Linked DNA regions of Xenopus tropicalis. The protein of the gene in region 2 interacts with the protein of the main gene of each other region in a pairwise test. Links are inferred from orthologs where the notes say so. Each region holds a gene or a part of one and is shown on either strand. Other genes may lie near its edges.

The links.
Region 1: the proteins of crk (region 2) and psmc6 interact in binary tests that used the Homo sapiens proteins (3 or more experiments, as listed by UniProt). The two-hybrid records come from large-scale screens. The link is inferred for Xenopus tropicalis from reciprocal best matches to the Homo sapiens genes CRK and PSMC6.
Region 3: the proteins of crk (region 2) and usp53 interact in binary tests that used the Homo sapiens proteins (3 or more experiments, as listed by UniProt). The two-hybrid records come from large-scale screens. The link is inferred for Xenopus tropicalis from reciprocal best matches to the Homo sapiens genes CRK and USP53.
Region 4: the proteins of crk (region 2) and ptpn4 interact in binary tests that used the Homo sapiens proteins (3 or more experiments, as listed by UniProt). The link is inferred for Xenopus tropicalis from reciprocal best matches to the Homo sapiens genes CRK and PTPN4.
Region 5: the proteins of crk (region 2) and atxn1 interact in binary tests that used the Homo sapiens proteins (3 or more experiments, as listed by UniProt). The link is inferred for Xenopus tropicalis from reciprocal best matches to the Homo sapiens genes CRK and ATXN1.
Region 6: the proteins of crk (region 2) and ppfibp2 interact in binary tests that used the Homo sapiens proteins (3 or more experiments, as listed by UniProt). The link is inferred for Xenopus tropicalis from reciprocal best matches to the Homo sapiens genes CRK and PPFIBP2.

The regions. Positions count from the first base shown.
Region 1 is NC_030684.2:94,536,124-94,540,144, reverse strand, and holds the start of psmc6 (26S protease regulatory subunit 10B), read right to left. Parts: upstream 2,815-4,021; 5' UTR 2,802-2,814; coding exon 2,717-2,801; intron 726-2,716; coding exon 646-725; intron 562-645; coding exon 522-561; intron 180-521; coding exon 127-179; intron 1-126. UniProt on the Homo sapiens protein: Component of the 26S proteasome, a multiprotein complex involved in the ATP-dependent degradation of ubiquitinated proteins.
Region 2 is NC_030678.2:46,102,787-46,106,846, forward strand, and holds the start of crk (adapter molecule crk), read right to left. Parts: upstream 2,816-4,060; 5' UTR 2,688-2,815; coding exon 2,468-2,687; intron 1-2,467. UniProt on the Homo sapiens protein: Involved in cell branching and adhesion mediated by BCAR1-CRK-RAPGEF1 signaling and activation of RAP1.
Region 3 is NC_030677.2:70,829,440-70,832,964, forward strand, and holds part of usp53 (inactive ubiquitin carboxyl-terminal hydrolase 53), read left to right. Parts: coding exon 1-24; intron 25-1,535; coding exon 1,536-2,265; intron 2,266-3,525. UniProt on the Homo sapiens protein: Deubiquitinase that mediates 'Lys-63'-linked deubiquitination of tight junction proteins, such as MARVELD2 and LSR, and which is involved in the survival of auditory hair cells and hearing.
Region 4 is NC_030685.2:88,032,543-88,036,656, reverse strand, and holds the start of ptpn4 (tyrosine-protein phosphatase non-receptor type 4), read right to left. Parts: upstream 2,824-4,114; 5' UTR 2,534-2,823; exon of another isoform or gene 2,529-2,533; intron 868-2,528; 5' UTR 680-867; coding exon 667-679; intron 1-666. UniProt on the Homo sapiens protein: Phosphatase that plays a role in immunity, learning, synaptic plasticity or cell homeostasis. Regulates neuronal cell homeostasis by protecting neurons against apoptosis.
Region 5 is NC_030682.2:93,271,151-93,275,124, forward strand, and holds the start of atxn1 (ataxin-1), read left to right. Parts: upstream 1-1,149; 5' UTR 1,150-2,216; intron 2,217-3,837; exon of another isoform or gene 3,838-3,974. UniProt on the Homo sapiens protein: Chromatin-binding factor that repress Notch signaling in the absence of Notch intracellular domain by acting as a CBF1 corepressor. Binds to the HEY promoter and might assist, along with NCOR2, RBPJ-mediated repression. Binds RNA in vitro.
Region 6 is NC_030680.2:16,389,706-16,393,230, forward strand, and holds part of ppfibp2 (liprin-beta-2), read right to left. Parts: intron 2,173-3,525; coding exon 2,005-2,172; intron 1-2,004. UniProt on the Homo sapiens protein: May regulate the disassembly of focal adhesions. Did not bind receptor-like tyrosine phosphatases type 2A.

The DNA.
Region 1 (4,021 bases), on a different chromosome or scaffold from region 2:
GGGCGTGCATGGCCTGTTTTACTTTAGCTGAATAAGGACATTTAAGATAGCTTTAATCTATACAAAAGCCATGTAGCTAATGACCATTTTAAGTATGTAAAACAAAAACAGACAAAATCTTATTACCTGTCGACGACAACCAACAACATATCTTGGACCATTCGTTGCTTTAACAATGACTGAAAACACAAAACCACATTCTGATTAAAACTTCAATACAAAATGCCAAATTCTAATTGTCATGTGTTAAAGGGGATCTCACACAATAAAGGAAAATATAATTTTAACCAATGCTCAAATACACATTAATTGTTTTCAGTGGTTTTGTAGTTATTTGTGAATGTAACTGCAGCTGAATGTACTACTTGTGTATCCCTTTCTGCTGTTTTTGGGTGAACATTGCCATAAATGTTTGCAATTTTAAAAGGTCTGCTAACATAGTTAAGTGCAATGCTAAGACAAAACAGTTGTGTGGATAAAGTATTTACTTAAGTATTAAATAATAATAAAAAGAAACTTACATTTTTCTTCAGTAAGCTGCTTTAGAACTTCCCCAACAATCTAAAATTGAAGGAAAGAAATAAGACAATTGCGACTAAACCAATAGTCACATGAATATTTCTACACAAAAAGATTCTGCTGTACCTGCCCAACGCTCTGCAATGCTTTAAGGTCATTCTCTGATTTTTCATACTGTTTGGTGAGCTCTTTCAGTTGTTCTCTTACTACAAAAAAAGAAAATACAGTTGTAGTTCTCCCTCTTTAAATAGAAACCAAAACTCTTTAGTTGATTTAAACTTCCCTAAATTGGTTTAAATATTATCGGTGTGTGCCATACATGCACCGATAATATCGTACGAAACCTCGTTCTGTACAATATTTGACATACAGCAGATCGACGAGGCGACCGATATTGCAAAAGGCTGTGGATATCGGTCGACCCATCGATTGGCCAGGTTAAAAGATTTTGATCGGGAGCCATTGAAGCGCCCAAAAATCTATGTTCAGGGCTGAATCGGCAGAAAGAGGTAGAAGATGCAGCGGATCCTCTCTGACCCCAGCCACAGACTTTTCACGCTCCTACCATCAGGCAGGCGGTACAGGAGCATCCAGTCCCACACCAGCAGATACAGAGACAGTTTCTACCCACAAGCCATCGGGCTTCTGAACTGCTGACATTCTACCCAAACCAACACACACTCCCCATAACTACTGGACTCTTCCCAGTGTCACTTTAAGCAAAGCCACTTTAAATCCTCACTGCACAATTTCAAATATTGCATTTTATTATTGTAAATACTTGTACCTTTATTGCACACTTTTATTATATTTAATATTTGTATTTTTTTTGTTTTGTTTGTCTATGTAAAGTTGGGAGGAACACGGGTCAAAAAAATTTCATTACAGTAATGATGCTTCATTGTTATTTGTATATGACAATAAACTTGAAACTTGAATTTCTATTGTTTCTACCTCCATATCTGATGATTCAGCCCTGAACATCAGTGGAGGGTGGGAACAATCAAAATTGGGGACAATCTAAAAGGTTAGGAAAAAGCAGCCTGGCCACTAGATGTGTGGCTGGGGAAAGCATGCAGCAGCAGTGTAAGTATAAGTAGTGTCTTAATCCGACACCTGCAGCTGCTAACAAAAGACAGCAAGTGAGTTTTTGGCATCATTCTCATGGTGCCAGAGCTTATACCTGCCTCTGTCAAGTTAACAGACATAATAAATATAGGAAGTAACAGTTCAGTAGGTATAGACATTCAAAGTAAAAATTGATTTGATCACAAAAATCCCCTTTAATACAACTGAATGACATCACCACCTTTACACAATATCCATGCACTCCAAGCAACTGCCTTACAGTACTGATCCACCAGTGCAAATGACTGTGCTGTGTGTAGTGCACAAGTCTACTTGCATCAGACTAAACTAGGCATTACAATGCTGATGTTATTGCTGCTTCTTGACTGGACTCAAACTGCACAACAATAATAAATAAATAAAAAGGTTTAGCTGCGTTTTATATAAAAAACTGAGGGGTTTACACAGCACAGAAACAGAAGCCAATATCCATAAGCATTCAAAAAAATCGGAAAAGTTTTGGTTGGTTTCCGTTGAGAAAAACAGCACAAGAATATGTGACTATTAGAACGAGGGGACCTGTAAATAAATACTTGTCCAATCTGTGCAATTATTAACATTGCAGTTGTGAGCAAATCTAGTCTGTAGTGACAGCAGCAGCGAATGAGGCAGGTCAGTGACAGGGAACAGGTCAGTGACACGGCAATAATTGCGCTAAAACGGTGCAGTTTCTGGATCCCTATGGGGGGAGACGACTGTACGGTATCGCTGTGTCACCGGCCTAAATAGGTACCAAGTGTCATGATCCCAGAGCTTTGCTCTGTACACAGAATCAGCCGCAGAGAAACGCACAAATCGCACCTTTTCAACACGAAGTGCGGCTTTTTCGCGTTAATAACAATCAGCATCTTCTACCGTATAAGGCAAAAATGGCTTAAGCATGAATAAAATCCTCAGATACCCCCTATACAGCTGTGTCCACACTGTGCTTCTTTCAGACAGCAGAAGGCCCAGGCCGCCATGACAAAGCGACTTGGGGCATGAAATGTATGAAGCGCTCACACAGAACAGCAGCTTGAGCTTAGCTTTACTGAGATGAACACTTCCCGGGGTTTCACCCAGCACTCACATTCCTTCAGCCGGCCATCTATCTCCTTGTGCTCCAGCAATTTCTTCCTGTAATCCTGCAGCGCCTTCTCCCGTGGGTCCGCCATGATGAGAAGCCGCTGCTCATAGGGAATGCCGGGAAGGGCCATAGCCGCTAGGGGAGCTAAGCAACAAACGAGAAGCGAATCTCTGCGCATAGGCGGCTAGAGAGGACCTTCAGTGGAAACGTCTTTGGTTTGTCATTGCGCTCTCTGTGGAAGGAGGTTGTATTACATTGCAGGGAAGAGGGCTTCTGAGGTCTTGAGGCAATGGGTTGTGGAACTATACGTCAGCAGGCTGCGGCTCCTCTGGCTCCACAGGCATTCCTGAGGCACTACATGGTTCTTTTACTATCAATGTTCCTTCATATTTTAATCCCAGTGTACAGAACAAATTGTGGTGTGATGTGTACAAAGAATTTCGTGAGAAAGCTCACAATGTTTGCTTATTCTGAATCAACTTTTTATTCACACAGTTTTTAAAAGTGACAGTTTAGTATGTTAAAGAGATTCTGTCATGATTTTTAGTGTACTTTTTATTTCTAAATGACACTGTTTATATAGCAAATAATTCACTCTGTCATTCTTAAACCAAAAAATTTATTTTTTTAGTTATAATATTGGTGTGCCATCTGGGCATCTGCCTGTGGATCAAACAGATATACCATGCCTAACAGTGCATTTGTAGACAACAGTTTTAAATGGGACAGATCTAAAATCTGTCAGAGTTGCACCAATCACACACACATTGCTACCTTGAATACAGACTTCTGCCCTATGCAGGGAGAACACTGTATAAATGAAAGGGCCACATGTCTCTGTGTGCGAAGTGCAAAGAAATAGTGAATTGCACCCATTTTTTGTTACATGGGACTGACGTATTCATAGTTCATTAAAAAAGTATTTTCTGATTTGCCAGATAAAATATCTTATGCTCCAATCTGAAGAGTGCATCAGTCTTTTAGGACAATAATTCTAAGCATAAGACTGGTAAAAAGAGGTGAAATAGAAATTAAAAGAGAAGGAAAGGCTAATAAAGAGTTAATCTCAAGCTGCTGTTCTCTCAATAGTGCTCTTAAGTCTCCCCATATTTCACCTGTTCAGATGATCAGAAGCCAAACAGGAAGAAAAAACACTGGGCTGTGTAAAGAAAGTTCCCATAATGCCTCGCTCCTGCACCAAGATCCAGACCAAGTGTACATGCCCAGTTAGTTAGACTATGAGTCAGCTTTCTGCTGATTGGCTCAGATCCACATTCTTAAGGGGGGGGGGGAGTGAGTTCTTAGCAT
Region 2 (4,060 bases):
AGTCATTTTCTCCACCAGGCAAGAAAAAAAAACTGCATGGATTTTAAGAATGCTAATTAAAATATGGTAGAAACATTAAAAATAAAAAAAATGAAGAAAAAGTACTGTATTTTGTATGGGTTCCAGGTAATCCAGTAAAAATATAGTGTAATTTATACTCAAAATGTATACTCAGAATCATTGCAGATGTGTCATGCAAACAAGTAGCACTGGAACACACAATACACACATGTAAAAGTGAAGAGCACAATCTGGTCTTTATTCCCACAACTTAAACCATTGGGTGACAGTGTGAATGTAGTATGTCCTATTCCACATACAATTAACAAAAAAAAAAAAAAAAAAAAAAAAAAAAAAAGAGAGAGAGAGATGGCCCTTCACTACTCTGAAATTGGGCCACACTTGCTAAGAAAATTATCCATGTGTCATGGACAAGCATGAATTGTTTCCACTGTGTGCTAAGGGGACTTTTATAAGCAAAATGATTCATGATTTTACAAATTAACTAAACGTTTCTTATTAAAGTTACGGGATTGGAAGAAACTGTTTTACGAGTTTCAGCAACTGGCCCACAATATTAATTGTATCACTATAAAGAAAATAAACGCTTATCTTTCAGTCCACAACTAAATGACTTTCCCTGCCTGCAGCTGCTTCCTGTAGGTTTGAAGGGAAATGTACTACCAATGGTAGACTCTGGCGCTGCCAGGTCAGGATTGCATGGGTATGCCAGTGATTGTTCCCTATATGGTAGTTCGGGCATTTCTCATATAAAGTGTGTGCCCAGTTCCAAAGTAGTAGCTGCTTAGCGTGCACGAGGGTTTTGTTCCTGAAAGGAATAAGGGTACAAAATGTGCCCAAATTCTTAAAGCACAAATCTGGACAATAAACTCTTTGGTGCTTGGACTTAGATCTTAATAATTGTGCATAAAAGCACAGTGGAAGACCTATATAAACAAATAAGTTGAGTAAAGATGATGTGACAATATAGTTTCCCACAAGCATTGTCCCATAAAATAAGGAACTGTAATACTGGGGAATTCCTCAACACATTTTAATTCCATGGGGGGGGGGGGGGGGGGGCAGAATGAAGCAGCAAAGTTAAATGAAAAACAAGATTTGCGGAACCGACTGATTTGTTTGTTGTAAATTCAAATTTTACCTACGTTTGGCGCAGAGATTTTGCTTGGGGTATGTTGCAATAGTGTCTTTGGAAAAAACAAAGATTGAGCCACAGTGCAATTTTTATTTATTTTTCAGAAAATCAAAGGAAGCCATTCAAAGTGCAACCTAGACTATGAATCAGTGGTTTCTCATTTGCTATCAACACTAAAAGGGATTTTTACGGATGCATTCACCAAATCAAAAGAAAAACCTTTTGTTGGATGTTCCTGTTTAAGGAAGTTGAACACACACTTTGAGGTCAGGTATGCAAACCACTAACACAACTATTTCCTATGAAATCACGGAAAGCCTCTACATAATTGAAATATGAAAAAAAACCAGTCTGCTCACAAACTTACAATTTTAAATCCAACTCCTTGTTTGCACTATAATGACCTGGGAGCAGTTGTCCATTCAGTAAATCTGGAACACAGATGACTATGAGGCCTGGACTGGCAATCTGTCTATTCCAGTGATCCCCAACCAGTGGTTCGTGAGCTACATGCTGCTCCCCAACTCCCAGTGGCCTCAAAGCAGGTGCTTATTTTTTAATTTCTGGTTATGAGGCAAGTTTTGGTTGCATAAAAACCCAGTGTAATGCCAAACAGAGCCTCCTGTAGGCTGCCATTCCACATAGGGGCTACCAAATAGCCAATTATAGCTCTTATTTTCACCCCCAGGAACTTTTTTCATGCTTGTGTTGCTCACCAACACTTTTTCCATTTGAATGTGGCTCACAGGGATAAAAGGTTGGGGATCCCTGGTCTATTCTGTTAAATGCCAGAGGGGCTACTGTGAGTTGCCATAGACAGTCACTATCAAAAATGTTACAAGTTCTGTGTAATTAAAAACCAAAAACTGGGCTACCACTGCGCCCCAACTAAACAGGGATATAACATGGCTCTAATTCTAAGACTCAGTGACAAATGGCATATAATAAGGATGGACTGTGGCTCTCAAACTAATTGCTCACAAGCTCAAATGCCTACAAATGAGTTTAATGCCCCCAGTGCACCCAATACCGGAAAACCTTTGCATGCATTTCATTTTTCTATATTATAAATGTATATCTATATATATCTATATCTATATATATATATACACACACCAGTGTTTAGTCACTATGAGCAGTTTGGATAAGAGAAATAAATGCAAAGGGAATAGGCCCTCGGCTTTCTGCTGTAAGTGCCTGGCAGCTGCGCCTCTACAATTCACTAACACATGCAATGCAAAATATATTCTATTTATCGGTATTAGTGCAGCCGCCCCCACCTCACATGCGCTGCATGTAGCCCCTACTCACCAGTCCCACTCTGCCGGTTGTTGCTGACGCTGTTGATGATATAGTGGGAAACCTTGGAGTTCTCAGAGACAGACAATACGTAGTCACCAGGTATAGTTGTGGAGTCTCGAACTAAAAACACACCGTGCCGCTGGCCCTGCAGAAGATTGACCGCCTCTTGTCTGTTCAGCTTGCCCCAGTACCAGCTCGCCCGGTCCTCGGAGTCGAAGTTGCCCGCCATGGCTTTCCTCCCCCTATGGGCCTCTCCCTAGCGCCCCGGTACTCGATACTACCACCGGCTTAAGGCGGCAAAAGACGCCGCCCCCAAACCAGACGCGGCAACCAGTCTTCTAACTACCGATCCCGACCTCACCAATCCCGAAATGGCGGCACAGGAAAGATCTGACCTCACCTTCCGGAAATGCGTCATTGGAGCAGCGACTATGGAGCGCAGGGGGCGGGTTCTCTTGACAAGTTAGAATTCTGACTTTTAAAAAGCCGTGTTTGTGCTTCTTGCCGACCAAAACTAGTGCGCTCCCATTCGGTAATCAGGCCGCTGGGTGAAATGAGCCGTTTTAATCACGTATTTGTCAGTTTCTATCTTAGGGTAGACTAATCAAAACTAAACTACTGCTGTGATTGGTAACACCAACATTTTACTACTGGCGTAAATGAGCACCACTGTCTCATTTGAGTCTTGGAAGTGAATATTAGATACGTGGTAGGGGAAACCTTTGCACGGAATAAAATACATATATGTATGCCTGTTGTGAACAGTCGCAGGTTTTATCTAGGCAATGGCAAGGTCCAAAGGTCCATTACTCCAAATTGGTGGGGGATCAGGGCCAAGAGCAATATAGATTGTAAGCTCTATGGGGCAGGGACCTCCATCCTCTTGTGTCTTTGACTCTTATTGCAACTGTATTTATCTTGTATCTATCTGTATTTATTGTTATACTTTGTATTTATCTATTATTATCTTAATAATCCCCTGTTTGTATTAATGTATTCTACTGTACAGCGCTGTGTACATAAGTAGCGCTTTATAAATAAAAATATACATACAATGCAATATGTCCAGAGCCAAAGCCACTATTCATCTGTCCCTGATTCTTTATAACTTTATTGTAATAAAATGTATTTTAGGGAATAATGAACCATCTGCTAAAATTAAAGGATGTTAGAAGTCAGCAAAAAGTTTTATGACCTTATGAAAGCAGCAGGCCAATATATAGGGACTCCATCTTACATCCTCATCATGTTATAACAGGGGTTTTTATAATACACAACACAATATACAACAATATCATAATATCAAATTATAAAAAAAAAATCATGGCTCTTATGTAAATACTAAATAGTAAATATTGCCCCCTATGGTAAAATGTAAGGATATTGTAAGTATGCATGTATATCTTTATTTATAAAGCGCTACTTATGTATGCAGCGCTGTACAATAGAATAGATAAATACAAAGTATAACCATAAATACAAGGTACAGTTGCAATAAGTTAAAGGAGACAGATCCTATAAAAATTATGAATGTACCAGTGAATTATACTCCTCTAGATATAGAAGGATTGTGCTTTAAAAAGTTGTGTTTCCTGCTGATCT
Region 3 (3,525 bases), on a different chromosome or scaffold from region 2:
AGAAAGAAATCATCAGACCCAAGGGTAATGTAAACTTTACTTTGCTGGTTGGTTTCCTTGCTTTTGCCATGGAACAGTTAATGTGACAATGGCACCTTTTCATTTTTCTGTTAACATTCACTAGACCTGCCTGTACTCTCAAACATACGCTATATTTCTAAAAAGTATCCGAGCACCTGACTCGCCAATATGTCTTTCAAAATTCAAAGGCATTATTATTAGTGATGAGTAAATCTGTCCCGTTTCGCTTCAGCGAAAAATTAGCGAAACACATTTGCCCGCATCCTTTTTGGTTGTCCGCCCTTTTTTTGATGAGATCACGCCAAATTTTTCCACAACGAAGTTTTGCAAAACTATTCGGCAATGGCAAAATATGGAAATTTGCTGTGAATCCATGCCTGGTGAAAAAATTTGCTCATCACTAATTATTATGAATAGTTTTTCTCTCTTTGCTGTAATAGTAGCCTCTACTCTTTGTGGAAGGGCTTTTACTTCAAGAGCAGCCACAATAGCAAAATACTGAGATTAGGCATTGCTGTTAAATGATCATGCCTGACTTGCAGCTAGCATTCCAGTTCATCCCACGTGGCTTCAGTTCAAACTAGTCAAGTTCTACCACTCCTATTTTGGCAAACCAGTTTTGTACAATTCTGCGTTGTGTGCTTCAGACCTGTTATAGTAAAAATGTCAAGGGGTTTTCCCATGTCTCAAGCATGGAATTGCCAAGAATGTCACATATTTTGTATTGTTAAAGGAGAAGGAAAGGCAAAATCTATTAAGCACACTATTAAAAAGTACTACTATTGCTGTGTAAAAACGCTATATTCCAGCGTGTCTCTATGGGCTGAAAAGCACAAGCCAGCTCCCTGCTCCTGTCACAAAGTTTCTGCAGCTCCACAACCCCCCCCCCCCCCACTCCTGCCACAAACCCCCCCCAAGCTCCACAAACCCCCGCTCCTGCCATAAACAATCGGCGCTCACAGCACCAGCTCGCCCTCCCCCTCCTGCCTGTCAGAGAACTCTGCGACGCTGGGTTGCCTAGGCAACCAGACGCTTCTTCTCTCTGCCCACGCGCTGCCTGCAGTAACGAGTCTCTAAGTCTTGGGAGAGCGATGTAGTATGGGAAATCTTCTCTACCCAGCTCAGCGTTTTTTTTTCTTTGTTTGGCTTCTGATCTTCTGAACGGCTGAAGTATGGGGAGCCCCCCCCCCCCCAAAAAAAAAGATAGATATTTTTTATTGTTGGTATTAATAATACTGTCATTCTTCATTTCTTTTGTAAGGAAAATTATATTTTAATAATTTTAATTTAGGGGTTTTACCAGTTTATGGCAGGTGCATTGTGTTCTCAAGCATCAGAGTTGTGTCTGCAGCTTATCCGTAGGGGACAGTGAAAATTGGTATTGCAGGTTGCTTTTGAACATGATATCCAATTTGAAAAATCTCTCCAAACTATTTTGTTTTATAATGTGCATTGCAATTCTATTTCAGATTCAGTACTCAGGATTTATTTTTCTTATTTTTTTTTTTTTTCAGAGACTTCAGGAGGAATGGCATACAATTCAAAGCCTAGCACAGTAGTGCATCTCAAGTCTGAATCCTCCCCCTCTTTTAATGGCTTTAGGAAGTATCCTGATGCTCATTTCTTTAGTAGTCAAGGGAAAGGTCCGTACAAGCAAGAAAGACCAACGAGCCAGCCTAGACAATCTTCTTCTTTTAATGCAGGGCATGCCACAATTCCTGAATCCAAGCAAGTGGCCAGGGTGAAAAACAATTTTTCAGCTGGTTATGATACAGACAGTAGTCAGGAATACAGAGAAAAACCAAACTCCAGAAATAAAAAAACTTGGAAGCCTATGCGGGAGACACTTAATGTGGATAGCATTTTCAATGACACTGATAAAAGCCAACATAGCCCAAGACATTTAGTAGGCTCAAATGGAAAACAATCTGCCAGGGATCATAGTTTTAACCCACCATCAAAAGAGAGCCCAAAACGTAATACTCTGATGACTATCTTTGAGGATGAGATAAAACAGGAATCTGGCAGCAGGAGTTCCTTGGAATCATTAGGAAAAAGTCAAGCAGATCGGAACAAAGTTACTGCAGATATGAAGATGTACCACCTTGACAACTGGCAGAGAACTGAATCTGGATATGAAAGTAGCGATCACATCAGCAGCGGGTCAAGCAATCTGGATTCACCTATTATTGAAGGGATTGGTTTTGCTGATGGGAGGGGCTTGCAAGAAACCAGCCTGTGCAGGTATGCAGGTTACATTAACAATACAATAACAATATCAAGTTCCTAACATTTTTACTTGATAGAGAACTGGCTGAAGGATAGATTACAAAGAGTGAGGGTAAATGGAGCATTTTCTTATTGAGCCAGTGTTGTTAATGGAGTACTGCAGGGATCTGTCCTTTGCTTTTTTACTTGCTTGATTGGTAACCTTGAGGTTGGCATTGTAAGCACTGTCTTATTGTTTGTTCATGATACTGAAATGTACAAAACTTTAAGCTCTATGCAGGACATTTTCAGGATTTGACTAAACTGAAGAATTGGGCAGCAATGTTGATAAGTACTCTTTGGTAAAAATAAGAATGCTAATTATATACATAATAGAAGTTTGTTGGGGGTCCTTAATTGAGAAGGATTTGGATTTGTGGTAAAAAACAGCAGACTTTGCTGTTCAGTCAGTATCTTCTAAGTTTAATAAGCACTCTCTCGTACAGGACATTTAAACACTGAGCACAGGTAAAATTCGAATTGCATCATTTCATCTGCACGCTGTATTTTCATGTGCTCCCTTCAGTACAGCCCAGTTCTTATGTGTTCCTGTTCCATTTATATTTATTATGTAGTCTTATGACCCAGCAATTCCCCTTTAAATAAGTAAGTTCATGAAAACTGCCAGTAGAGACTTGCCATTTCATGCCTGTAATACTGACTTGCGCTATTGCTGATTAGTCTTTTTGTTCAGATGCATACTGCATTTGTATGTATGTATGAAAATTGCATTGTTCAGAATTGCTCCAATATATCTGGCATAGCTGTGTGCTTAATTAATGGAATGATATTTCAGCACATCCATCAAACAAGCTTCATTTCCATAAGATGCCCATTCTAAAGCCATGGCAATTAGTGGCATTCAAAAAATCAATCAGGTGATGCCTTAGGCTCATGGTACATGGGTTGATTTCTCTACTGGCTTAAATACACTAGCAGAAACAAGCCTATCCACTGGCCTCCACGCCTTGTATGTGTGTGCCCTGGCAGGCACAGTATTAGCTTGCCAGCTGCACAGTGCTAAAAAGCTGAAGTGTTCATTTTCCTGCTGACCGGTTGATCCCATGCCGTCTGCACACAATTACAAAGGGGTGGAAGGCGGTGGATTGGCCCTTAGGGGTCAGGGCAATAGCTGCTATTGTACCTTTAATAAGGGCTATGACACATGCAGCTACTTGTAATTAGCCATTACAAAATGTATATACCCAGGCATAGACAATACCGAAAATGTTTAAA
Region 4 (4,114 bases), on a different chromosome or scaffold from region 2:
AAATTGTTAAAAATTAGAATTATTTGCTTATAATGGAGTCTATGGGAGATGGCCTTCTTGTAATTCAGACCTTTCTGGATAACAGATCCCATACCTGTACATGAAAGCAACAGAAAAACCCTGATTTCCACCAAAATATGGGCTACCCCCTAAATGAACTATAAATCACAGCTAGCAGGGGCTTCTGGGAAATGTAGTTCCGGACCCAGTGAAGGGAAGCCAGCTGCTCATCCCGGGAAGCCCTCGGGGAGGGATCCGTCGCCGCTGCTTGGAACTGCCTAGAAACAGGTTTTTTGTAGAAATGACCTATTTTGCCCATAGAAACCAACTGCAATCTATTTCCAGCCAACTGCTGGGGAGGTGCAAACCGGGTCAACTACCCGGGGCCCGCAGAGTGGGGGCCACTGTATAGTAGGCTGAGGGCACAACTTGGGGCCCTCCAGTAGCACAATCACCCCCCAACAGCAGGAGGGCCCCAGGCCATTCAGAAGGGCCACAGGTTGGATCATTCTTCCTCTAACTACTAGAACTGGGACAGAACTGCACCCCAAATGATACTTAATGCACAACATTTTCTATAAAATAACTGCCCCCCTGAAAAACACAATTTGGGGGTGCAGCAAGCATTTGAGGGGTGAAGGGGAATAAAGCGAGGAAACTACACACCTTTTACCTTCATATAAGGGCCGAGTTCTGCAGTGAGCTGGGAGGAACTGGGTTCTTGATCAGCCGGCACAAGGGGGGGTTCTGCTTCCCAAATGATCCGTTAGTTCCCATGGATTGTCCAACGAAGCCGCCCCAACGGTAACAATGGGACCCTCATACTGGAGCCCGCGCGGGGGGGGGACCGGGGTAGAACTGGGGGCACTAAATAAGAGGGTGCAGGTAAGAGAGGGTGCAAAGCGAAGAATGGGGGGGGGGCAAAGAACAAATTATGAATTATAGGGAATAAATGCAGAGAATAAAGCTGGGGGGGGGGATTATATAAATGTCTCTGGGATCTGACACCGAGGAGGAAGAATTTGGCGCGGGGGGGAGTAAGAACGAACCCAAAGGTTCTGAATCGTGCAAAGGGCAGGGGCCCAAGGGGAAGGTGGCGGTGGGGCCCAAGGGGAAGGTGGCGGGGGGCCCAAGGGGAAGGTGGCGGGGGGCCCAAGGGGAAGGTGGCGGGGGCCCCAAGGGGAAGGTGGCGGGGGCCCCAAGGGGAAGGTGGCGGGGGCCCCAAGGGGAAGGTGGCGGGGGCCCCAAGGGGAAGGTGGCGGGGGCCCCAACGGGAAGGTGGCGGGGGCCCCAACGGGAAGGTGGCGGGGGCCCCAACGGGAAGGTGGCGGGGGCCCCAACGGGAAGGTGGCGGGGGCCCCAACGGGAAGGTGGCGGGGGCCCCAACGGGAAGGTGGCGGGGGCCCCAAGGGGAAGGTGGCGGGGGCCCCAAGATGCAGTGAAAGACAATAGGGCACCAAACCAGTGAGTGGGGGGCTAGGAGTTATGGGGTGCAGATCCTGGGGGGCACCTGACAAGTGGAGATGACAGACTGGGGTACGAGGGGGAGAAATAGAAGAACAGTAACCAGTTATTTAGGGGCGCGCGGGGTGCACATCACACAAGGGGGGACCTGGCATCACATGAGAGAAGGAGGGGTGCACAGATCTCCCTTACAAAGAAGGGGTGCAGGCAGATAGGAGACAGGACTGGGGGTACAGTGATAGGCACAAGGGACCCCAGCAGGGGACAGTAACGGGTAACTAAGGGGCAAATCATACAGTCAGGGGGCAGAAGACATTGCAATACTAACCATACAAAGAACCCCTCAGCTATTTGGGGGTGCAGGCTATTATGTGATACAGAGAGGAAAGGGGGTACAGCTGGCACAGGGGGGGCACAGAGACACTGCAGCTCCAACAAGGGAATCCTTTATGGCTATATGGGGGGCCGGGGGGTTCCCCACAGGATGCAGGGGGTTCCTATAGGGAGCAGGAGGGCTCCCCAGGGGCCGGGGGGTTCCCCACAGGATGCAGGGGGTTCCTATAGGGAGCAGGAGGGCTCCCCAGGGGCCAGGGGGTTCCCCACAGGATGCAGGGGGTTCCTATAGGGAGCAGGAGGGCTCCCCAGGGGCCGGGGGGTTCCCCACAGGATGCAGGGGGTTCCTATAGGGAGCAGGAGGGCTCCCCAGGGGCCGGGGGGTTCCCCACAGGATGCAGGGGGTTCCTATAGGGAGCAGGAGGGCTCCCCAGGGGCCGGGGGGTTCCCCACAGGATGCAGGGGGTTCCTATAGGGAGCAGGAGGGCTCCCCAGGGGCCGGGGGGTTCCCCACAGGATGCAGGGGGTTCCTATAGGGAGCAGGAGGGCTCCCCAGGGGCCGGGGGGTTCCCCACAGGATGCAGGGGGTTCCTATAGGGAGCAGGAGGGCTCCCCAGGGGCCGGAGGGCTCCCCACAGGATGCAGGGCCCCTATAGGCTGCGGGGGGTTGAGCGGAGGCAGCGGGGAAGGCAGGAGAGGCTGCAGGGACACAGAGAGCCCCGCTGGGGTACCGTACGCTGCGGCTGTTCCTGCAGGAGGTTCGGTCCGTACGGAGGGAGCTGTGGGAGAGCCTACAGGGGGCAGAGAGCGCCGCGGAGGTGACGCTGTCGCGGTTCCAGCCCGGGAGTCTGACAGCAGCCGATCCAATAATCCGTACGAAGGGTCCGGGACCCCGGCCCGGGGGGATGAGTCGCCTCCGGCCTCGGATTGTGGAGGAGTGTGGGGAGGCGAGGGGCAAGGCTTGCTACATCCCCGCCCCTCTGTGTCACCGAGCTCCGCCCTCCGCCCCGCAGCCTAGCAACCCAGCCTGGCGCAGCCCAGCCAACTCTCGCGAGACTACCACAATCCTATCCCCCGAGACTTCCGCATTCCCCTCGGCTGCCTAGCAACCCGCTCTAGCCTTGCGGGATTTCCCTCCCAACATCCCGCGATAATTGCCCTTAAACCAGTGACGTAATGTTTAGTACTGAGGTAGCGGCTGGGGCTGCGCTAGTTCTGCCTGGGGGGCCCCGGGAGGCAGTCCCTCCCCTTTTAAACAATAATTTAATATTTTACAATATTTTTTTAATTTGTATTCAATATATGTAGTGAATAAAGTACCCCCTGTTGTAAAATGAAGGGATTTTATAAGTCACAGAGGAGTTCCATATAAAGGGATGAGACTGAAGGCAGAGGGTTGTTATACAGGTCATGGAACTCTGAGGTGATTCCTAATATCCTTATATTAGTCAACAGGGGGTACTTTATTATGTTGGTTTTCTAAACGCTACTCCTCCTACAGTTTTAGGGGTACAACACCCAAACTCCCCACACATCTTCGCCCTATAGCGGAGCAGGCTGCTTGTGCTTTTCTAAGTGATCCCGCCCCCCGTCTTTTTGTGGCGCCGCTCCAAACCCCCCAATTTTTCCATTGACTTTGACAGGGAAGATTTTCAAACTGCTGCCGCACTTACAGCTTTGAAGCTACACCCCCCAAACGTGAATAACATAATCACGGGGTCACCCCGAATGAAACAGCTACATTAGTTGGATGACCCCAATGTGGGAGGAGCCAACAACACCCAATCAAATTTCACCCATTGACTTTTATGGGGAAATTGAAACTGCTGCCAATCTTACAGATTTGGGGCCACACACCCCAAACTTGAATCACATAGTCATGGGCTCAGCCTGAATGAAAATTGATATTTGTTGGATCCCCAAAAGTAGGCGGAGCTACGAACAGCTTTTTTTACGATCAGATTTTACCTATTGACTTTCAATGGGGAAATCTAACCTGCTGCCAGTCTCACAGTATTAACTCTGGGGGTCCCCAAACTTGGGGTTTACTTAGGGACTAAGGTTAAAGATTAGGAAAAGTGGGTGGAGCCACCAACTTTCAATGGTGAAATCCCCAAAGCAGAGTTGGTCACTGGGGGACTGCAGTTCAAAAATAGGAAAAAAGGGTTGGGCCACTAACAGCCAATCAGATTTCATCCATTGAATTTCATTGGCTTTAATATAAAATGCTGCCATCCTCACGCTATTTATGCCAGGGTGCCCACTGTTTCTCATTGGGTGACTTCGACTCAAGGTTAGAAAAAGTGGGCGGGGGCCA
Region 5 (3,974 bases), on a different chromosome or scaffold from region 2:
GTCCCTAGTTATTATTTATTACTGCACCATATACATAAATGTTATTGAGTAATAGTTACATTTATCGATACTTTACCTGTGAGATTTATGTTTGACAGTTTATGAAATACCTTATTTCTCAGCATTCTAAGCATTCAAGCTTATTTCAACATTCTTCTACATTGTATCCGATTCTGCTTCTGGAGAATAACAATATGGTTATAAAATAGCCAAATATTACCTAAACCACTATACTATCTATCTATATATATACCTATCTATTCTATATATACCTATTACTAGTATCTGTTAGGAGAAATGGAAGAAAATAGGTGCAAAGTTTGCTCCAGATCTATTCAAATAAATAGCAATTAATCAGCAGTTAACATGCTGCAATTAAATACTCAAAAGTCATAAGGGTAATTTATAATAACAATACATGTAACAGTATTGTACATATTTTGTAAAAGCTTATAAGCTTATCTGTCATGGCTCCTGTGGGCCCAGCAGGTCAGCCTTATCCAGTCTTTAATGCATGCCACATCTTGATCCGCGTTTGGTTGCTCCCATTTCTCTCTCTTCAGTATGGACCACTGATGCTCACTCCGTCTTAAACTGAGATAGCTAAAGACACACCTTGGAGGAGTTCAAAACACAAAAAACATGCATTAAAAGAGTAGTATTTTTTCCCACTTTTTTAATACTTTTTTGTATATTGCTTGTATGCTTGTTTGAATATTCACTTAAAGCTGTGGCCCTACGCCCATTTTTGACCTACAGTTCAGTTTGGTACTGCAGCTAAACAACTGTGAGACATCCTTCTAACTACTTAAAGACTTATAATACATCTTAGGTACTTTTATTCATATCACCCCCCCAAAGGCCACCTTTAGTGTTGGTGGCTGATGGAAGATGCCCTCTATATCGCTTAATACAACCAGCCTGGACTGTTTGTTTGTACCAGGGGCAATGTTCAGCCAGGAAGCCGTGTGTACACTTTACTGTGTTTGCTGTTACTTATTGCAGGGCATTGGAACTGTGAAACAACAAAAAAAACCACTGCATGACATATATGAAGGAAACAAGCCATCTGCTTGCTGTGTTTTCCACAACCTATTATGTTTTACCACCAGAGGGTACTCTTCAGGGTCACCGAGTCTGTTAGCATGCTTTTCAGTAACCCTCTGTTCCCTGGAGAGAGGAAAAAAAAACACAACAGGTTAGAAAAGTCCTCAAACACTTGACACCTGCTGGACAAACAGTCAGAAAATCACAGGCAATAGGTGCCCTTGGTGCTGTTTCCCACAAGGCAGCAGCTGAAGCACCCAGGAAGTGAGCTGTAATAGAAAACGTCTTTACATGAAGGGGTATGCCCAAAGCTGAAAGTTTCAGGGATTTTCATTCCCTTATGAGATAGGAAAACACATTCACACAAATAGGACGGTGCCTTATTGAAAAAAGGCTTATGTGGTGGAATGAATTCCATTGTTCAGCCTGCTGGCACAGATAGGGTTAAGCCAGAAGCGATTTCCTACATGACGTGAACACGTAAGGTCTGCGTTGTTCCTCTCTGTGGACATTGAGCTTGGCTTGCCCTTACAATTCCTACTCTCTGCCTCTCCTCCACCCCTTCTTCTCTTTCCAACAGAGGCACACACCCTACAGGAATCAAACGTGTGCACGTATTAAAGTTACTCCGCGCTGCTGCTACGTCTCTGCTCGCACTTTCTTCCTTTAAATGATCCTGAAGAAGAATCCCGAAAACCTCTTTGTTTTTCTTTTAAGGGGAACACCCACATTTAAAACTGCACCCTCAGTAGCTGTAGAGATACAACAAGTATACGGCAGGCTGGCGGATCAGCACGTAGAAGGGGTTAAAGCCGACCGCCCCAGCTCTGTTGTGCGTATGCAATAATCTGTGTGGCTGCCTTGGCCGTCTGCCAGAGTGTTGCCTTGCCTCCACACACACTCTCTGCCCCCCCCCTTCCTCCCTTTTGCATGAAGTAGGATCCTTGAGCTGTTGCAGAGGCAGCCAACTGCTCCATATTTGGCTTCTATTACACATTTACATACTGGAGAGAGAGAGGGAGAGAGCTGTACTGCAGACATCATTTCTACTACAGTAGAGGAGACGTACAAGACCTGTCTTTCTGCGAGGGGGGGCAGAGTAGGAGGAAAAAAAAAGCAATAGCTCAGACACCCTCTTCATCCAACAAGCCCCTATACTGCACTTTACAGTAAGTCGATTTTATTTGTCTCTTCACTTTTCTGTTCTGATCATGCAGACCTTAGTGGGCAAGTGCTATACATGCATGTACTATAGCATTTCCATGTACAGAAGCTTCTCTGGGATCATCTGTAAGCCTTGCAGAACTACAGATCACAGGCTTATTTTTCCTGCTTTTTATACCCCCTGAAAGAAGCAGCGATAAGTGAAATCAGTCAGAGATACAGGCATGTATTTTTTCTGTTCGCTGAAATGATATAGTGCAGTGCCTACCAGGAGTGCACCATCGGTGCAAATGTTCTTGATGAGTGCCGCTGTCTGTGTTTCGTGTAGAGTGGGGCCTGCTTTCCATAGGAACTGAGAGTAATAGAGTGTTTTACCCTGATCAGTAATAGGGAGACTGCAGTAATTGCTTTCCCCATGGGGTAATGAAGAGAGCCAGTGTGAGTGTGTGTACGAGAGAGGAGAGCACACGTTTATGTCACCTCTCTTAGTCCCCTCCTCCTACTGTCTGATCTATCAGTCTGCTTCTCTTCTATGGAGACCACCTGGTTCCAGATTACTATAGAGACACTTGCACAATCTTGCCATTATTTTGATTGTAGGGTTATTCCATTATTCATGAACATAAAAGAACTGGAAGGGCTACAGATACAGAAAGCTAGAAGGCTGAATAGAGGTAATTAGGTAAATTAGGCATGCCCAACATGCGGCCCTCTTTGGCTGGACTACAACTACCAGCATCCCTGGCACTTCCCTGAAAGCAGCCATAAAACCTGGCTTACTAGGTATAAAATCCTTTCTAATATATTTTTTTTATTAATGATATTAAGCCATGTAGTTCAATGTTTAGTGAGCTTACATGTTTGTGATCAAAATTAAACAGACAGGGCTGCATTTTAGCTCTTATGTTGCACTTTCACTACATACAGTCCATATTATTATTATTATTGTTGCTCTACTTTGAATTCATGTAAATAGGCCTAACCAATGACAGAATGTGGTTAGGAATTTGCACAGAGCTGGCCTAAGTAATACAAGTTGCCCTACATTAAAGCCAAGGCATTGTGTTCTGAACCACGGCCTAGTGCTGATAGAAAGACAGGCCCGGAGCATTTGGCAGACAGACTGCTCCACCCCACAGTGCTGGGTTCTGTCCTCGCTGCTTTTACCCTGCCCTCCTGGAGAACAGTATGATCCAGTCTGCTCCTTCCAGAAACACTTTTATAAAAGTAACAGTTGCCATTTTTAAATATGACAGTTATTGTGCTCGCACAAGGCATGGATTTTTAGGAGTGAGCACATAAATTGCAATACATGCAAAATACTAAACTATATTGTGTTAAGAGGCTTATCTCAGTTAAAGCAGATCTACTTTGCAAGGGGATGGTTCCTCTGCTTATTGTGTTTTCAGGCATTAATGGCACTGGTATTATTGTTTAGGTTAATCAGGTTGTGATTACAGACAAAAAACAGTTGCAGAAAGCACAGGTATTTCTATATTCTATTGGCCTCCGTTTTAATGTGCAAAAATATTATAACAACCTAGAAGAGTCGTGTGAGCTGCCGAAACAAGAAGTATTTTTCTACATGACGCGCTTCAAGGCTACAGATCTGCTAGAGCATTTAAAAATCACTAGAATTGGGTCATTCTCTCTGAATGACGTGGAGCCATATGACAGTCTTATCTCATCTGAGATGTAGCTGTACATAAATGCTTGCCCAGTGTGGAAGCTCGCTTGGATGAAGGATTATTGTGTTCTTATTG
Region 6 (3,525 bases), on a different chromosome or scaffold from region 2:
TAAACCTTTAAAAATAAGATTATGTAGAATAGGAATTTTATAAATAGCTGAAATAGGAAACTGACACGGGTTGAGGAGTATTTCTATATTTTGGGTAATAAACTGCAGACTCCAGGTGGCTGATTCGACCGATATCCTGACAATTATTACCACAAAGGGTAAGGAGGGCAGAGAAGCGGAGATGTTCAGGGTGTCGACTTTAAGTCTCTGCTCTGTGATTGGTTCCCATAAGACTAAAGAGCCTCTTTGAACTTCTTTTTCCCATGTTGGCTATGGGAAAGCATCCCTCTCGGTCACATTTTAGACAGCAGCCTCAGTTGATGATAACAACTTGTTATGGAAACAAACACCATGTAACATGTAGACCTTCAACTCTTGGACTACAGAAACATTAGGCTCCATTAATGTGCTTTACCTAGCCTGCAAGGTGCATATGTTTCCCAGCATGCCATACAGTTAACTCAGGTTGCCTGGGAGATGCCCCTTCCAAGCCACACACACAAAAAGTACAGTAGGCAGCAAATAGTAATTTATGGGCCAGGGGAAAAGCATTAACAGCCCAAGAGCCCCCTCTGATCTTGAGCCCTGTTGGACAACCAAGTGTCTGCCAGCAGTTGACTCATAGTTGGTGCATATTTCCCCTGGAAGGTCTCTTCATGCTTTTCTAATAACACACGGCACACAAACACCATGCAAATGCAGTCACTATTGTTTGGGGTGTGTGAGGATGGCTTGGATTGTTCAGTCTAAAATATTTTCCATTAAAGGAGAAAGTAAGGTAGAATCACTGGGGAAGGGGGGTACAAGTTGTTCATCAATTACCTCCTACCTTGGGTTGGCATGCCTCTTCTTATAAAAAAATGTTCTGGCTTGGGGACTTGTTGTGAGGGGGGGGACTAATTGTGAGCTCCATGGCAGAGTGGAGTCCCAGGCACCCCCTGTTCCTATTGATGTTGGGAACATGCACAGGTTTTGGCCACAAAATTTCTGTAGTGTATATGAACTTGCCCCGGGGCAACACAGGAGATGCCTTAGCACTAGCAAGTAAAGGTGCCAGGCACCATAAGGTCATTTAGGGTCTCAATGGGGTGTGCGAGGCCTGCTGGGCTGCTACCTCAGGGTCCCCCGTCACCTGATCTACCACCACCAGCTCCTCCCACTACGTGCAGCTTATACTTACTTTTGCCGCATTCAGGGGAGGCGGCCAGTGGGGGATCGCTGGGTGAGTGTTGGCGGGGATTGAATGTGGGTTGATGGGGCCCACTGGGATTTTCCCTGGCACCCACCAGGGATCCTACTTTTCCTTCTCCTTTATTATATAAAGGATGAGGGAAACATGGGTGTCCTTAATGGGGGCTACTAATAGGGGCAGATGCCGCTACCAGTTTTAGACTAAAGTCAGGGCCACTGGATCATTGAGGTTTATGAATAAAGTGGCCTCACTGGAGCAATAAGGTTTAAAAAAAAAAAAAGACGACTCCCAGGGCACAAGAACCAATGGAAATTTGTTTTACTGAATATTTATAGAAAAATAAAAGTAAATGTAAAATCCTCCTTATACACAGAGTACATTAACCTTTCATAACTTCCATTTATATCCCTAATTTCCTTCTTTTTCAACTATATACACTATGTTACATCAGTTTCATTTAACCATCTTTTGGGGTGACAATTTCTCTCTCACTCAAATAAAAAATATTTGGAATAGGGATATTTAGGGAATAGGGAATTGGGATATTTAAATACTTGTGGCTAAGGCAGAACGCAGGCGTACTGGGCGGGGCATTACTTGGTGCTCCTGTAGCCTCTTGGGAGAAAAAAAAGATGCTATGGAATTGTCTGTTGCCTTGGTAACGATATGGGGGGGAATAAAAGTCAGCGCCCCCATAGTGATGCCATGTATGTGAGGGTAGGAAGATGAGACAAATGAAGATGCAGAGTTATTTGAGAAACACTGAGGATTATGGGAATGGATGCCGGATGCCATCAAACCAGTCTGCCCACCTGCTCCACTTTGTCGTTCTCTTTGGTGGAGCTCGCGCTCGTCACTTTAAAATCAGCGCAGCCCCTTTGGGTACCGTTTGTAGCGTCCACCGGGCACACGTAGTCTGTTGTCTCGTCGAATTTCTTTTTCCGCAGCTGCCCGAAGTTGGATAAGCTGATTTTCTTGGGCTGAAATGGAAGCAACATTTTCAGCACAATAATGGCTGATTATATTCTCATTATAGAGCTTCGGTGTAGTTATTTTATGGGCGTTTATTATATGGGGGTCTTCTGAGATGCAACAGTACTATGGTTCAGAGTCATGAAGGGTCTATGAGTAACTTAGTAAGTTGGGTTGAAAAAAGACATATGTCCATCACGTTCAACCATAATGCCTATACCTAACCTGCCTAACTACTAGTTGATCCAGAGGAAGGCAAAAAAACCCCATCTGAAGCCTCTCTAATTTGCCACAGAGGGGAAAAAATTCCTTCCTGACTCCAAGATGGCAATCGGACCAGTCCTGAGTCCGCTCTGACTGACTGCAGCCTCCTTTTAGTAAAACAACTGACTTAACTCTGTAATTATGGGGAATCGCACTAGAGTTTTATTGGCCAAATCACTCAATAGGTGGTCCCCACACACTCATAATCATAACAACCTGAAGGAAGAGGCTATCAAACTTTTTAGTTCAGGCTCCCTTGAATGTCCAAACTTTGTAATTTAACCCCTAAATTTTCTTACGATGTATATAAGTTGGGCACATCTCGCTCACCCCCAACTACACCATTTGTACTGCATATATCCCCTCTGTTCGCCAGGAACATCACATTTTCCTAAAACAAATAGCAACTTTCAACCAGCAGCCACTTTCCCTCTCACACATCTTCAGTGACATTTACATCAACAAACAGCACATATGTGCTGTAAAGTTCATGCAATATAGAATGCAGGCTTACACGGGCAGAACTTACTTTGACAAAAGGCCCTGCTTGGACTGAGCACTGTAATGGTTAAACTGAGCTCAGGAGAGGAAGTTAGGAGAAAACACATGTTTCTCCAGCAGAGTGCACAGCTAGAACAGACTTTTTATGGTAACCAGCAATGCCAACTCTTCATTGGCTGCTAGACTGGAGGGTGAGTTTGGTAACCTGAGTTGAGGAGAACTGAGCATGCTCAGTAAGCCAAGAGCCAAAGTCAGTACCTAAGGGAGGGGGCCAAGTGGATTATAGGAGGAGAAGGAATCCCAAGTGATTAAGGGGATGCCAGGCCAGCCCCTGCTACTCAATAGATTTAATCACAAGCCCCTGATAAAAATTATGACCATGAATATGAATTTTATTTGCTGAAACTTGGGGTTGACACTTGGCTGGTACTTTACAAATCTAGTCTGTTAAATGCCAGCTAAGACAGGGGGCAGTGAGATTAATTAATGGGCAATGTACCTGCTAGCATATGTAGTCTTACCCATCCCTCAACCACTCCAAGTCCAGTTACGTTCTGTATGTCCAATTCCCTCTCCCACAACAAACTGCTTCTACT